Linked DNA regions of Oryctolagus cuniculus. The protein of the gene in region 3 interacts with the protein of the main gene of each other region in a pairwise test. Links are inferred from orthologs where the notes say so. Each region holds a gene or a part of one and is shown on either strand. Other genes may lie near its edges. The genes, in order: CCDC92, NRF1, FHL2 and NIBAN1.

Region 1 (4,227 bases), on a different chromosome or scaffold from region 3:
GGGGGGGGGGGCTCCGGAGCATCTACAACCGCAGGTGCCCGCACCCGCGCACACACTTTTCCTATCTGGAGCAGCGCTGGCGGGGGCTTCGACCATCCCCGAGATGCGACCCTTTTTCCAAAAATAAAAACAAGTCAGCGCATTTACGAATTTCAAAACCCTCTCTCAAGGCTCAAGTCACCGGTGCGTGGCGCAAGGTCACCCGTGCGCTCCCCGGCGGCGGCGGCGGCGGCGAGGGAAGCCGAAATCCGTTTTGTAAAAAGCCGCTGGCTCCCGAGGCCACGGCCGACTGTCACGAAGTACCGCACCGCGCCGCTCTCGGAGGCGTGAGCAGGCCCCTTTGTTGCGCCGGGACAGGCCACGGCCAAAGTGGGGGCGGCCGCGGGGCTCACAAAGGAGCGGGCCGCGAGGGCAGAGTCCTCCGGGGCCGGCCGGGAGGGCGCGGCGGGCGGCGGGTGGGGGAGGGGGAGGGGAGGAGGAGGAGGGGGCGCGGGAGCCGCTTACCTGCGCGAGCGGCCCTGGTCGCGGTCACACAATGGAGGCGTCCGGCGGCGGCCCCGTGCGCCGGGTGCGCGGCGGGCTCCTCGCGGCCTCGGCCGGGCCGGGCGCTACAAACACACAACAGCACAGCCTGCGGCGCGCCGCCGCGCCCGCCCCTCCGGGGCCCGCCTGGAAGCGCTCCCAGGCGCGGCCCCACGGGCCCCGGGGCCGGCCGCGCTCCCCCTTCCCCCGGCCCCGACAACAATGGAGCCCGGCCCGGGAGTCCGGCTCCCGCGGGGCCTCGCCCTGCCCGCCGCCATCGGCGACCCCAGGCCCCGCCGCCCGCCGCCCCGAGGCCCGCGGCCTGGCCGGCGGCCGCCCGCCCGCGGGGAGCCGCGCCGACCCCCGCGGCGCGCCCGAGGGGCCCGCGCGGCCCCAGGCCCGTCCCGAGCGCCGGCTTGTTTTTCTTTTCTTCCCACCCCCGCCCCCCGCCCCCGCCCGCACCCCGGAAAAGAAGGCCGGCGACAGCTCAGCCGCCGCCAACTCACTCCAAGTGAGGGGTGCGGGCGCCCCAGGCCGCGGGCTCCGCGCACCCACCCTCTCTCTCCTCCGGGGACACCTCACAGGTGCGCCTCCGAGCCGCGCGCGCGCGCTCCGCACACCCAGACGCCTCCGGGGGACAGCGCGCGTGCGCACGCACGCGGCCGGCCGGCCCCGGGGGAGCGGGACCCGCACGCATGCGCGAAGCCTCCGCGCGCGCCCCCCCACCGCCGGTCGCGCGCCCGCGCGCCCGCTCGCTTCTCCCTCCTCTCCCCGCCCCCCCCCGCCGCGGCCCGCCCTTGCCCGCGTTGCCCGGGGCAACCGCAGTGCGGCCGCACCTGAGCTGTGCGCCTGCGTCCCACCGGCCCGACCCTCCCTCCCCCTCGGCCCCGTCCCCCTGCCCAGCCGCAGCCCCGGGGAGCCGGGCGGCGCCCCCTCCCCGCCCAGTGAGTACCAGCCGGCCTCCCCGCCCCTCCCGGCGGACGCCGAGCCGCCGCCGCCGCCGCCGCCACACGCCGCAGCGCGACCCGGCTCGCCGCCGGCCGGCTCCCAGGGTGCACCGCGGCGGGCGCTCGCTGCGAGCCGGCGAGATGCGCTGAGCGGGCGGTGCCCACTGACCTCCCTCGGCGGCCCGGCCGGGCAGGGCCGGAGCCGAGGCTGCCCCGCCCGCCGCCGCCCCGCCCATGGGCTGCGGGCCGCCGCCGCCCGCCGGGAGGAACGAGCCGAGCCGGGGAGCCGCCTGAAGGACCGCCGCGGCCGCGCCCGCAGGTGAGGCGGGGCCCGCGGAGAGCCCAGTCCGGCCCCGCTCACCTGGCCCCGCTGGACAGCGACGGAACAGCCGCGCTGCGCGGTGCGGGCCGGGGCGCGGGCCGGCGGCGGGCGTGGGGGGGGGGTCTCCTGGCGCAGACACCCAGCGGGGCGGCCGCGGCGTCCGGCCCCAGGCGGGGGAGGCGAGGCCGGCCCGGGGCGGGATCCGCATTGCAGGTGCAGCGGCGGCGCCCGGGGGGGGGGGTGGCGCTGCGGGCGGCGGAGCCCCCGGCCGCCCCCGCCGCCCCCGCCGCCCCCGGCTCTGCGGGCTCGCCTTCCTGCTGCCCGCGACCGTGGAGTGGGCAGCTGCGGCGTTCGCCGGTGCGATGCGGAGTCGGCTACCGCCACGGAGCGGGCCGGGGCGCGGGGGGGGGGGGCAGCACCGCGCGCCGGGCTTGCGGTTGCGACGATGAAGGTTTCACCCCAAAACCAAGGCTTGAGCGCGTCGCGCATTCCCGGGAACCCGCGAGTGGGAAGGCTAGCATGGCCGCTTTGAAACGTGCGGTGCGAAGTGGGCTTATTAGGGAGCGGCGTTTGCGGCTGTTCCCTTTGGGGGGGCGGCACAGTCAAGAATTCTGCGTTTTCTCGCCGTTGAACTGTAGGAGGGAAAGCTGCCAACATTTACAGCGGTTTTTACTTCTGATTTGAAATGTACGGATTTTTTTTTTGTTTGGCTAAATGTTGCAGATGTGTTTGGAGGAAACTCTAGGCTGTGTCTTTATCTGTACACCTGTGCACAGGGGCGGGGGCTTCAGAAAAGCCTGCGGACGTGGAATTAAAAGGTAACTTTGTCTCGTTGCAAAATTTGAAATCCATGATTTATTTTTTCGCGATGGCTCGCCCCACGAACTCTTTGAAGGCCCCCTGTAGTTAAACACCCTGAAACCTTAAGGTAACTATTCCTCCACATCGCTTCTTAATCACTCGGGAAGTTTAGGCTTTTTTTTTTTTAGGACAGTTATTTCATTTTTACTGTTAGGTTTAAACAGATTTTATTTTTTTTGGAAATTAGATGTTTTTATTGTTAACTCTTTTTCAGAAGCGAATGGGTGCTTTTACTCAGATGGTCCGTCTTGGGCTCTTGGCTCTTTTCTTTCCTGAATCGGATCCATGGGATTTTAAGGTCATTGCCTCCCTGGGGTGCGCGTGCCCCAGCACTGATGTTAGTGACAGCGTGGATGCTTTTAAAATCCAGTTATCGAACGTTGTTCTCTTAAGTCTGGCCAGAAAAGACTTTCTGGAACCAGGTCTGCCCGGTACAGAACGGGCACGTCTGGTAGCCAGGCTTCCTCCCGTCGCCCCACGGCGTCCCCGGAGGCAGAGGCTGGCGCCGCCCGTGCCTCCGCGGCAGCGCTGCAGTCCGGGTTTGAGGCGGCCCCAGGCTGCAGACCAGCTGGGCCGGCGCCAGCCTCCGCACCTGCGCCCCGGATCCCCAGTCCACCTGCGGGGAGTGAGCGCGTCCTGGCTGTGGGTCCTAGTGCCAGGGCTCCGGTGACTGCTTCGCGCCTAGCAGGAGGCAGGTGTCCCACGCCTCGCCTGGGAGAGCTTCCCGCGGTGGGAAGGGGGCCTGCGCCCCACTCGGGGGCCTGCTCCCTCCTCGGGTGCCCCACCTAGCAGAGCCGCTACCGGAGTCACAAGGGCGGGGAGCCTTGGGGTTCCAGTGGCAGCTGGATTTGGGGAGCTGTGCATCTCCCTCTGGCTCTGTGGTTCTCACACTGGCTTGTCCGCCATGCACCCGAAGCCTCAGCCCCGGGAAGGTTTCTCAGGCCCGCCTGCCCTCAGAGCTGGGTCTAACTCTGTTGTGCGTGAGTGTGGCGCAGTGCAGGTCACAAAGCTCCTCTCGCCTAATAAAGACTTTTTAGTTGTGATCTGATTTTCTCCCTTTGACTTTTATTTTCTACAATAAACTTTTAATCAGATGGAAAATTATCTTTTCTAGGAAACCAAGCAGAGGAGTTTGCTTTTTAAAAGCGTTAAAAATGGGCTGATGTCAGCTCTCCTTCTGAGTCAGGGAGTTGTGAAGCTGCATCTTTTTTCTTAGATGAAAATGCTTTTTAAAGATGCTAATTAAGAGGTGATTCTGTGCTTGCTCTGCGTCTTCATTCCTCTTTATTTCATTACTCCAACATGACTCAGGTTTCACAGCGAGACGTCCAGTCACATCCACCCACAGTGAGCTGCACCGAACTATTCCCCAGTGCGTCTGGGAGAGTTTAGGTACCTGCTGGCAGCCAAGAGGAAGCTTGAGTAGTGTCCCGGGGACGGGAGAGCTGAGGTGACCGACCTCAGCTCCAGGAGTAGGGGGGCCGCGGCCAAGGGGGGATGTCACTGGGTGGCTACAGCTCCCAGCCCCGTAGTGCCCGAGACAAGTGCAGCGAGAGCTAGCAAGGCCAGTCGAGT
Region 2 (3,560 bases), on a different chromosome or scaffold from region 3:
TCAGCTGCTGTGGAGTTGAGTATGTCTGAATCATCGTAAGAGGTATCTTCCGGGGAAGAAGGCGAGTCTTCATCAGCACTCAGCATGCTGTGCTCAGTGTAGGTGGCCACATGGACCTGCTGCACTTGCTGGGCCACTGCATGGGCTTCTATGGTAGCCATGTGTTCAGTCTGAGTCACTCCGTGTTCCTCCATGAAGATCTGCTGACAGAAAAAGAGGAAAAGAATAAGACGCAGTGCGCAATGTAGCACCATGCTTAAACTAAAGAGAGATTTTCTCCAGGGGTAGAGGAACTTGAACAAGCCTCTAATTTCACTACTTACCTCACCACCAAGCCATAGGAAACGGAAGGCACCACTCAAATATGGCACAAAAATGGTGGAATACTTTCCTCATATGAACCCATTCTGATGGAAATTCACGGGGCTAAATCTGATACCTCAGGACACAAAACAAATATCCCTAATAAATATAACAATAAAAAGTGTAAATATAATAGAAACATTCTTAAAATATCCCTTTAACTAGTATTTGATGTTGTAGACATAAAAACACTTAACAGGTGCAGCAGTTTAAGCCTCTGCTTGGGATGCCTGCACCCATCCAATATTGGTCCGCCTGGGATCAAGTCCTATCTCCACTTCCAATCCAGCTTCCTGCTATCGTGCCTGGGAAGTAGCAGATGACGGTTTAACTACAGGGGTCCCTGCCATCCATGTGGGAGATGGGGATGGAGCTGCTGACTCCTGGTTTTGACTCGACCCACCCTCAGCTGTTATGGGCATTTGGGGAGTGAACCAGCAGTTGAAGATTCTCATTCTCCCCATCTCTTTTTCTCCCCCTCTCTCACTGTCACCCTGCTTTTTCCAAAAAGTTTCAGAACAATGGAGTTAAACTAGTGGGGACATTTGGAGTAGCACTTGAAATGCCACTTGGGACACCTGCATCACCCATAAGAGCATCTGGATTCGAGTCCCTGATTCCAGCTTCCTGTAGATTCACACCCTGAGAGACAGAAGGTGAGGGCTCAAGTACTTGGGTCCCTGCCTTCCACGTGGGAGATGTAGATTGAGTGGGACGCTCCTGACTTCAGCCTGGCTCATCACTGGCTGTTGCAGTCACCTGGGAAGTGAACCAGTAGATGGAAAAAATATTTGTTTGTCTACCTTTCAAATAAAATAAGAAGAAATAATAAAATATTTTAAAAATTCAGCAGTGGGGCCATCATTGTGGCATAGTTGGTAAAGTTGTCACCTGCAATGCCAACATCACAAATAAGCACAGTTTATGTTCCAGCTGCTCCACTTCCAATCCAGCTCCCTGCTAATGGCCTAGGGAAAGCAGCAGAAGATGGCTCCGTGCGTGGGCCCCTTTAACCATTGTGGGAGACCCAGCTCCTGGCTCCTTGCTTCAGCCTGGCTCAATGCTGGCCAATGTGGTCATCTGGGGATTGAACCAGTAGATGGAAGATTCTCTCTCGGTAACTCTGCCTCTTTCTCTGTAACTCTCTCAAATCAAAAAATCCTTTTAAAAATTAAAAATAAATTAAATTAAAAACGAAGCAGTAAAAGTTTGCTTTCCTATTGTATTTATATTCTTCTGCCCACTTCCAGAAATTCATTATTCTTTATAAAAATTTTTATTTATTTTACTTTAGAGGCAGACAAACACACACAGAGAGACTGAGAGATTTCTCATTCGCTGGTTCACCCCTCAAACTGGGGCTAGGCCAGGCTGAGGCCAGGTGCCAAAACTCCATCTGGGTCTCCTACATGTGTAGCAGGAACCCAAATACTTGAGCCATCACCTGCTGCCATGCAGAGTGAACACTGATCTCTGACAAAGAGGCAAGCACAATACCACAGTTTAGCAGAATCTTTTTGATGAATGGTAACAGAACAAATGGATACCAACATACCAAAAAATGAGTCTACAGAGACCTTCCATCTTTTACAAAATGAATATATATAGAACAAAATGTGAAATGCAAAACTATAAAATGACGTAGAAGAACCCTACATGACCTTGGGTTTGGCAATGACTTCTGAATATAATACCAAAGGACGAACTATGAAAGAAAAATTTCTCTCCCTCTCTCTGTATCTCACTCTGCCTTTCAAACAAAATGAAAATATATAATTTTTTAAAAAGATTTATTTATTTGAAAGGCAGTTACAGAAAAGCAGAAGGGGGGAAAGAGAGAGAGAGAGAGAGGTCTTCTATCCGCTGGTTCATTCCCCAAATGGCTGCAATGGCCGGAGCTGGGTCAAACTGAAGCCAGGAGCCAGGAGTTTCTTCCAGGTCTCCCAGGAGGGTGCAGGGGCCCAAGGACTTGGGCCATCTTCTACTGCTATCCCAGGCCATAGCAGAGAGCTGGATCGGAAGTGGAGCAGTCGGGACTCAAACTGGCGCCCATATGGGATGCTGGCACTTCAGGCCAGGGTGTCAACCCACTGCGCCACAGTGCCGGCCCAAGTATCTACTTTAATGTACAATTACTATGTGTTAATTTAAAAAAAAAAAAAAAGATTTACTTATTTATTTATTTGAAAGGCAGAACAACAGAGACAGAGAGAGATCTTCTATCCACTGGTTCACTCTCCAAATGGCTACAACAGCCAGGTTTGGGCCAAAAAGAAGTCAGAAGCCAGAAATTCCATTTGAGTTCATTCTCCAAATGGCCACAACAGCCAGAGCTGAGTCGACCCACAGCCAGGAGCTTCCTCCAGGTCCCCCACGTGAGTGCAGGGGTCCAAGCATTTGGGCCATCTTCTACTGCTTTCCAAGGCACATTAGCAGAGAGCTGGACTCGAATGGGCCCCATGTGGGATGCTTGCGCTGCAAGCTGGGGCTTTAACCCGCTGCATCACGGCGCAGGCCCCAAAATGGTTTTTTCAAGATAAGTATCAGATAAGCTGTCCTAAGGTTTCTTTCATATCCTACATTTGGTGTGAGTTTCAGAATACTCAAGAGAACATAACTCCAAATCTGTACTTATCTAAAATTCAACTTAACACACTAAAATTAAATATAATATATGAGAGGAAGATTCCATTAAAATGCTATCTTGCCATCCATTTCATTGTTTTTCTAGTCTAAGAAACAAAATGCTTAAGACAATTTAGAATTCTGGGTACTTCAAAATCGCTTTTAAATGATTTGGGATTACATGGCATCTAACTGCTTTTCAAAGGGATTTGTATGCTATGCACTTGGCATAATGGATTTCAATTCTCTGCTCCAGAATGCGATTCACAGCATAAATCAATAGGGCTGTCTGTCACACAGGCTTGTCACTTCTGCCCAGTTCTCACCGCTTCCCACCGCCCTCCCCAGCCCTTGCCTCAGCATCTCTAACCATTTACAGGCAGCGTTCTATACTAAGCAAAGACAAAGTTACTTTCAACGTTTTTGAACTAGAGGGGGATATCTGTGAAGTATGCTTTCAATGTTTTCATAAAATCATTGAGAGGTAACAGCCCTCTGCCATAGCGAGTAAAGTCACCGCCTGCGGCCCCGGCATCCCATATGGGCGCTGGTTCGCGTCCCAGCTGCTCCAC
Region 3 (3,560 bases):
CTGTCCTCAGCCAGCATCCGCCGGCTCCCCTGATGCTACCGGGCAACACCAGATCCTCACCCAGAAAGCCAGCAGGTGGTTCAAGTCACCGAGACCCTACTTTTTCACACTTCCTGGGCAGACCCCGGCGTGGCCGCCACGGATTCGAGCTCCAGTGCCACAGTCTCTGTGTTCTCCATTGGGGCAGGTGGTCCTCAGGTATCTGCCTGCAGCCCCAAGGAGGGGTGCCGGGGAAACTGAGGCACGGACGTCGGTGGGGTTGGGGATGTGAGTGGGAGAGGCGGGGAGGCAGCTCCAGGAGCGGGGAGGCAGCCCAGGGGCCGTCTCCTGGCCAGAACTTTATTGGGAGACCAGGAATGAACCCTAACCTGTTCCTTGTCAGCCCTGAGGCTGGGGCAAGCCACTGTTAGCGATCCCTCTGCCTCCATTTTCTCATCTGTGAGATGGGAGTGATAAGGTTCCAGGTGCAAATCTGTAGCGAGTGCTCGGTGTGAAGCCCAGCAGGTAGAATAACGTCTCCATCACCACTCGCAGGCTCAGTCTAAGCAGCCACTTGGGCGTGGGAGAAAGAGCTTGCAAAGCTCCGGGATTTGCACCTGCTGATGCTGCGGGAAGGGCAGGAATCGTGGAAGTCTGGGGGAAAGTGAGCCCGAAACCTGCTTGTGGTCTTGGAACAAGCGTGAGGAAAGGCTGCAAAGCCAGATGTCAGAGAACTGGCTTTCGCCTAGAATTTTCCTCTCGCTTTCCCAGAGTCATTTACAAAACGGATCAGTGATGGAGCCAGGTAAGGCATCACAAGGGGTCCAACAGAACGACGGTGACGGAAGATGGGGCAGACACCTCCCAGCAGGCGCACGGTTAGGCTCTGGAATCCCCAAACACTGAGCTAAACACCTGGCCACCCCTCTGGGCCGCATGTTTAGCCTGTGAAACGAGATGGGTATTGCCTGCAGTGCTATTGATCAGCAAACTGAGGCCAGGAGGAAGGTATCAGTGAATAGCTGGTTCATGACAGAGCAGGGGCTACAGCTCAGGACTCCTTCTGTCCTGCATTATTTTTAAAGATTTATTTATTTCATTTGAAAGAGTTACAGTAAGTGAGTGAGAGAGAGAGATTCCATCTTCTGGTTCATTCCCAGAGGGCCACAACAGTCAGGGCTGGGCCAGGCTGAAGCCAGGAGCCAGGAGCTTCTTCCGGGTCTCCCACCTGGGTAGTAGAGGCCCCAGAACTTGGGTCACCCTCCACTGCTTTTCCAAGACCATTAGCAGGGAGTTGGATCAGAAGTGGAGAAGCCAGGACTTGAACCTGCACCCATCTGGGATGCCGGCATTGCAGGTGGTGGTTTTACTCACTATGCCACAGCGCCAGCCCCTATCCTGCAGTGTTGACATTAAACCATAGATCACGGCTGATCTTCCTACAGATGCTTCCTCCGGGAGCAGAACTAACGCAAAACATGCTGGGTTTTCAGATCCTTACGGGGATACAGAATGCGTGTATGAGGGGACTTCAGACAGCTTGTTAGAAAACAGACTTGAAAGACAAGTTTATTTTGGTGCAACATCATTATGCAATCCAAGTCCAGTTTTCTCACCTTACTCATTTTCCACAAACTTTGTGTAGGCCCCAGCTCAGAGCTAGCACATCAAGGAGCAGAAAACTTTAAATGGTCTGCTCCCTATCCAGGGCACACCTGTCCTCTCTCTCTCTCTCTCTCTCTCTCTCTCTCTCTCTCTCTTTCTCTCCTCCCAACAGCAAGTCATTAACACGAGAACTGATCTGGGAATGTTCCAGAAGGCAGGGCTAGAGGATTCTGAGCACAGAGTACCACGGTGTTCTGTGCAGAACAGGGATCCAACGGCTGGAATCCATAAAAGCTCAGCAGGATTGCAAATACACAGCGGTGGGCCGGGCACAACCCCAGAACCTTCCGGCTACGCCAGCAGGACAGCCGTCCCTGCTTCCTAAATGCGAGAGCTGACAGACAGGGCCACGGAAGCTGGTGGCGCTGACCCCGCGGGGTCCCGGGGGAACCCAAGATACCTTTTTGCACTGCACACACTGCAGGGCGTACTGCTTCTCGTAGCAGGGCACACAGAAGTTCTGATTGTCCTTAGGGATGAAACTCTTGGTCCCGATCGGCTGCTGGCAGCGATGGCAGCTGAAGCAGGTCTCGTGCCAGCTGCTGCCCTTGTACTCCATCTTGCGGGTACCTGCCGGCAGTCAGGAAGAAACGGCGGGGTTCTGGTTAGCTTGGCCTAGGAGGCTTAGCAGCCCACACCCTCAGCCTGCCGCGTCTCGATTTGTCTCCTAGCAAACCACTCGAGTGCCCGAAGACTTGCCTAGCAATGGGACGATTCCTATCTTGTGGAGGGCAGGGGCTTTGTCTTAGGGGTCACTGCTATACACCCAGCTTCTAGAACAACCCACACTACACACTTGGCACGTGTTTCTCCAGACTGGTGCTCAGGAACACTGCATTTCTTTTTTTAATTAAGGCTATCTCAGCATTGCCAAGTAGAAAGAGAAGTCTGGCCCAGCTCGGGCTCCTCCTTCAGCACGTGGGATCTGGAGAACAGGGACTCCAGGAGTTCTTCCTTGTCTGTGGATCTGCATCCTAAGGGTGTCAGCAGTCAATCGTGGGCCGAAAATAGTAAACGAGAAGTTGGAGAAGTGGCCAATTCATAAGTTCTAAATCACACACCACCCTGAGTCCTGGCATGGCAGCCCTCCCCAGCCTGGCCGGACGTGTCCACGCTACTATACCACCTGCCCGGTAGCCACTTAGCAGCAGATGGCCTGCATGGGGCACTGACATTACAGCGCTTGCACCAATGCTTAACTTACTGAACAACAGCCCCATAGCACAAGAGAAGTGATGCCGGCAGTTCAGGTATACCAAAGAGACATAAAAAATGCTTCCTTTAAGTGAAAAGGGGAGAGCACACTCCGACATCTGGAAAAAAGACCACACTCACAGCACTCTTACGGTAGTGTATTACTCCGTTCTGTTATCATTAACCTTTTTATGCTCCTATTGTGCTTAATTTACAAATCCAACTTTTTAAAATTTATTTATTTATTTGAAAGTCAGAGTTACAGAGAGGAGAGGCAGAGAGAGAGGGGGGTCTTCCATCCACTGGTTCACTCCCCAATTGGCCGCAATGGTCGGAGCTGCACCAATCCGAAGCCAGGAGCCAGGAGCCAGGAGCTTCTTCCGGGTCTCCCACATGGGTGCAGGGGCCCAAGGACTTGGACCATCTTCTATTGCTTTCCCAGGCCATAGCAGAGAGCTAGACTGGAAGAGGAGCAGCCGGGACTCGAACTGGTGCCCGTATGGGATGTCGGCGCCTCAGGCCAGGGTGTTAACCTGCTGTGCCACAATCCTTTATCACAAGTATGTACAACTAGAAAACCACAGAATATCAGGTCTACTATAATCCACAGTTTCAGGATAATGGGGGAAGGCTGTGCACCCCCCTGTTGCACACCTGTTAATGAGTACCCGCTCTGGTTCCAAGGAGATGGGAACAGCTGGGGTGTGGATGCACCTGGAGCT
Region 4 (4,030 bases), on a different chromosome or scaffold from region 3:
CCATCGCACTTAACCCTTACGGGACAAACAGGAGAGAACTCCCCGGAGAGAAATGCATGCTGGTTTTAAGCTGAATCTCATTTCTTTAGAAACATCAGATCGCTGATGAGTATTTCAGAGGAAGCCGCTGGGCCTTCTCGGGGTACGTGTGACTAAGTCCCCCACAGCAGAAGTCGGCACATGCCCATTCCCCACCCCGGGGCCCGGCTACAGCCCCGCCTCCAGCAGGACTCCCCTGTGGGCGAGCTTTCTCTCTCTTTGATTCAAAACCAGTTCAATGGGCATTTTTCAAAGGAAGACAATTCTGGTTAAAACAGGGAAGCACATTTTGAAAGTTCTATTCCAGGCAAACCAAGGGTTTTACAAGAAACAGAGAGGGGAGAAGCATGCCGTACGGCCCGCTGGTGCTGGACCCTGCCAGCGCCCTTCCTTCTGGGCCCGAGCTGGCCGGCAGAGGGCACCGGGCTGTGATCGCCCAGTCTGGGCACAGGAGTGGCTTATCCAGGGAAGTTCCCGGAAGGCCTCTGGAACCCGTTCTAAAAATACATACCGTCGTGAGAGAATCTCAAAGCCAACATCTCAGAAACGAAGCAACTCCTTCCACACCTGTGCCTCTACCTGGAGGTCGGCAGAAGCTTCAGGAAGAAAAATGCAGGTGACGCAGATGACTTTGTCACCGACCAAAGGAGAGCGGTCTAGAAGTACAGCCTGGTCCCACCCCAAGCCACGAGCACACCGGCAGCGCGGCTGCTTCCAGCTCGCGCCCCACAACCCCACCAAACCCACGCCCGGGGCATCCACCGGCTAGTCTCCTGCGCTCAGGGTTAGCAGGCTTGAAAGTTCCTGTCGCACGCCAGCAGCTTGCAAGGCTGCAAAATCGTACAGCGGCCACTTCATGAGAAATCTTACAGTTGTGCCTTAGCTTTGCCGTCACTCTCTCCACTGTCTCACTGTAACTCACACGTAGCTCGGGGAGGGCGCGGGGTGCACACGGGCTCCGGGTCTGCTGGGCAGCACGGGCTTCAGAGCCATCCGGACGGCACAGCCCGGGACTTCCGTGGGCTCGGGCGCTTACGATCCACAGCCCCGGACCTTTCTCCCAGGGTGAAGCAATGCCCTGGCAGCAGTCACTCTTCTCCCCCTCCCACTCCTCCAGAGCGTTCCGGTCCACAGAACCAGAGGCCAGCCCTGAGCGGGGCTCGGTGTCGCCACCCTGCCACCCGGCCAGCTGTGGCCTTACTCATTCACACATGGTCCCCTGCACCCGCCTCACACCTCTGGCCGTGTGATAACACACTTCCCTGCTTGTAAAAAACACCAGGAGCATTGCTTTGCTAACAACCAGTGCACACCCCTTCTCACCTGCCTTCTGGCCCCTACCCTCTGGGGGAAACCAGCAGGTCCCTGGATGCTTGAGACGGAGCAGCTTGGACCCCAGCTTCCTCCACTTCCCCCCTCTCAACACCACCGGGGAAGGGACTTGGCGCCGGCTCCGTCCCCTGGCAGCACCGCCAAGCCTGGCCCTGCAGGAATCTGGAGATCCAATCCCGGGACTTGGCGAGGCCGGGCCCTGATTTGCGCTCCTTCTAAACCGCTTTGTAAACGGCGCGGTGACTGAAAACAAACACGCACCGAAGACCCCAAACGCACGCTTTCCTCTCAGGAAGCGGCTCAAGGGCCAAGAGGAGAGGCCAGGAAGCGCTCAGCCGATTCTGCAAAGAATTAGGGGAAAGCCCAGGGGCTAAAGCCTAGCTTGGGAGGTGTTTCCGCCGCCGGAAGCACACACACAGAATCCAAGGCGACCGAAAGTCAGGTGTGACACGCAAAGGCTTGCGGGCCGGGGTCCCCAAAACCCGGCAGCCCCGCAGAGAAAGGGTCGGGGGTCCGGGCAGCGCCGGCCGCCCGGTGGGTTTGCGCTCCTCTGGCCTCTGCTCTCTCACTCCACCCCCTCAGCCTTTCTTACAAAACCTGCCGGTTCCTCTTCTTCCCCTTTGCGGGGAGGGAAGGGACCCGCGCAGCCCAGGAAGGCGACGCCGCCGCCCTTTCTGCGCGACCGTCCGGCGGTGCCGCACCCGCTCCGCGGCCGGGAGTCCCCAGGGAAACCTCCAGGCTGGAGCGACGGCCCCGAGCTGACCCGCGCCAGGTGCACAGGGCGTCGCCCGCCGGGCCTGCGCCTGCGCCTGCACCTGCACCTGCCTCCCGCAGCGCCTCTCAAGGCTTTCCCCCCGCAGGCTCGCGGGCCCGCGGCCGAGCTGCCCTCCCGCCGGCTCCAGGACACCCGCCCGGGTCCGGGGACGCCCGCGCCCAGGTGGAGCCCGGGACGGCCCCGCCGGGGTCCGGGGACGCCCGCGCCCAGGTGGAGCCCGGGGCGGCCCCTCCGGGACCCGGGGACGCCCGCGCCCAGGTGGAGCCCGGGGCGGCCCCTCCGGGACCCGGGGACCCCTGCGCCCAGGTGGAGCCCGGGGCGGCCCCTCCGGGGTCCGGGGACGCCCGCGCCCAGGTGGAGCCCGGGGCGGCCCCTCCGGGACCCGGGGACCCCTGCGCCCAGGTGGAGCCCGGGGCGGCCCCTCCGGGACCCGGGGACGCCCGCGCCCAGGTGGAGCCCGGGGCGGCCCCTCCGGGACCCGGGGTTCGCCCGGGACGCCGTGCAGCAGGCGGAGACGGGGCGTACCTCGGATGTAGGCGCTCCGGGCCTCGTCCAGCTGGCTGGAGGCGGCGCCGCCCATGGTCGTGGTGCGGCGGGCGCGGTGCCGTGCGGTACCGGGCGTAGCGGGCCAGCTAGCTGGAGAGCGCCGACCGCGGCTCCGGGCTAAGGCGGCCTCTTCAGCGGGCGCCGCCCCCTGGGCGCCTCCCCGGCCGCGCCCCAGCGCCTGTGCGGCCGCCTCCCGCCCCTTCGCGGTCGCTCCGGAGCCGCCTCTGCCGGGACTTCCCGCCGGCTGGTCGCCGACCTGCGGCGGCCCAGAAACGCCGTGGAGGGAAAGGACGGCGTCCCGGCCACTGTAGGCCTCCAGATGTCTGTGAGCCGCTGGGCTAGGGACCCCATCGCTCTGCACGCTCCACCCCCCCACCCAGGGAGAAGGCTGGCCCCCACCAGCTCCACCCGTGCCCCTGTGCACCTGCGCACCTGTACACCTGAGCCCCCCCCCATGCCACAGAAACACGGTCCACACACACCCCTACAAACACACGCCCTCCACACACACCTGTACACACACACAACCCTCCACACAGACACATACTCACCTTCCACACATACACACCTCTACACACCCTTACACACTCCATCACATGTCTACACGCACAGCCCTACACACATACCTCTACATACACATACACCCTCCACACCCACACAGCTGCACACTCTACACACACACACGGCACCCTTGCCACAGCCCCAATCAAAAGCTCTGGCTGGGGACCAACCGCCTGCCTCCCCAGCCCTCTGGGGATTCCTGGCGTGGCTTGTGTCCAAGAATGCTTTGGACAGTGCCCACCTGGAGCCCAGGAGGTGGTCCAGGGCTGGCGAGGGTGGGAAAACACAGGGGGCACCAGGGTTGGGTACACCTGGGGAGGCCGACGACCGCCCCGGAAACACCTGTGGGCCAGGAGGAGACTGTATGGTGGCTCCCCCACGGTCACCAGACCAGCCCTGGGCAGGAATCAGGACTCTGTCCTACCAGCTTACCCTCGAGGTCAAAGGGTCTGAGGCCTCTGAAGCCCCTCCTCCTGCCCCACCAAGTTAATTTCCTAACCAGACCGGATGTGCATCACAGCTCACACCCCGAGATCCTGCCTGTCAGTCCCGCTTTCCAGCTGTGTCCAACCAGCTCTCTGCCCACCCCCCCCCCCGCCCCATCACCACCTCCCCTCCAGCAGGACCACAGCCTCCTAACTGTCATGGGGGAACTTGCACAGAGCCCACCCGGCCTAGGCCCGCCTCCCCTGCCCTCCTCACACCCGCTGGCCCTCGTGGTCCCACGGCAGCCTCTCTGCTCTTCCCAGGACCATCACCCCAGGGCCATGCGCCTGC

Evidence for each region.
Region 1: the proteins of FHL2 (region 3) and CCDC92 interact in binary tests that used the Homo sapiens proteins (3 or more experiments, as listed by UniProt). The two-hybrid records come from large-scale screens. The link is inferred for Oryctolagus cuniculus from reciprocal best matches to the Homo sapiens genes FHL2 and CCDC92.
Region 2: the proteins of FHL2 (region 3) and NRF1 interact in binary tests that used the Homo sapiens proteins (3 or more experiments, as listed by UniProt). The two-hybrid records come from large-scale screens. The link is inferred for Oryctolagus cuniculus from reciprocal best matches to the Homo sapiens genes FHL2 and NRF1.
Region 4: the proteins of FHL2 (region 3) and NIBAN1 interact in binary tests that used the Homo sapiens proteins (3 or more experiments, as listed by UniProt). The two-hybrid records come from large-scale screens. The link is inferred for Oryctolagus cuniculus from reciprocal best matches to the Homo sapiens genes FHL2 and NIBAN1.

What each region holds. Positions count from the first base shown.
Region 1 is NC_091452.1:5,556,059-5,560,285, forward strand, and holds the start of CCDC92 (coiled-coil domain-containing protein 92), read left to right. Parts: upstream 1-1,395; 5' UTR 1,396-1,466; intron 1,467-1,474; exon of another isoform or gene 1,475-1,493; intron 1,494-1,532; exon of another isoform or gene 1,533-1,788; intron 1,789-4,227.
Region 2 is NC_091434.1:165,825,996-165,829,555, reverse strand, and holds part of NRF1 (nuclear respiratory factor 1), read right to left. Parts: intron 463-3,560; exon of another isoform or gene 324-462; intron 204-323; exon of another isoform or gene 201-203; 5' UTR 195-200; coding exon 1-194. UniProt on the Homo sapiens protein: Transcription factor that activates the expression of the EIF2S1 (EIF2-alpha) gene. Links the transcriptional modulation of key metabolic genes to cellular growth and development.
Region 3 is NC_091433.1:103,241,670-103,245,229, reverse strand, and holds part of FHL2 (four and a half LIM domains protein 2), read right to left. Parts: intron 2,215-3,560; coding exon 2,045-2,214; intron 1-2,044. UniProt on the Homo sapiens protein: May function as a molecular transmitter linking various signaling pathways to transcriptional regulation. Negatively regulates the transcriptional repressor E4F1 and may function in cell growth.
Region 4 is NC_091444.1:2,294,744-2,298,773, forward strand, and holds the start of NIBAN1 (protein Niban 1), read right to left. Parts: upstream 2,831-4,030; 5' UTR 2,727-2,830; coding exon 2,672-2,726; intron 1-2,671. UniProt on the Homo sapiens protein: Regulates phosphorylation of a number of proteins involved in translation regulation including EIF2A, EIF4EBP1 and RPS6KB1. May be involved in the endoplasmic reticulum stress response.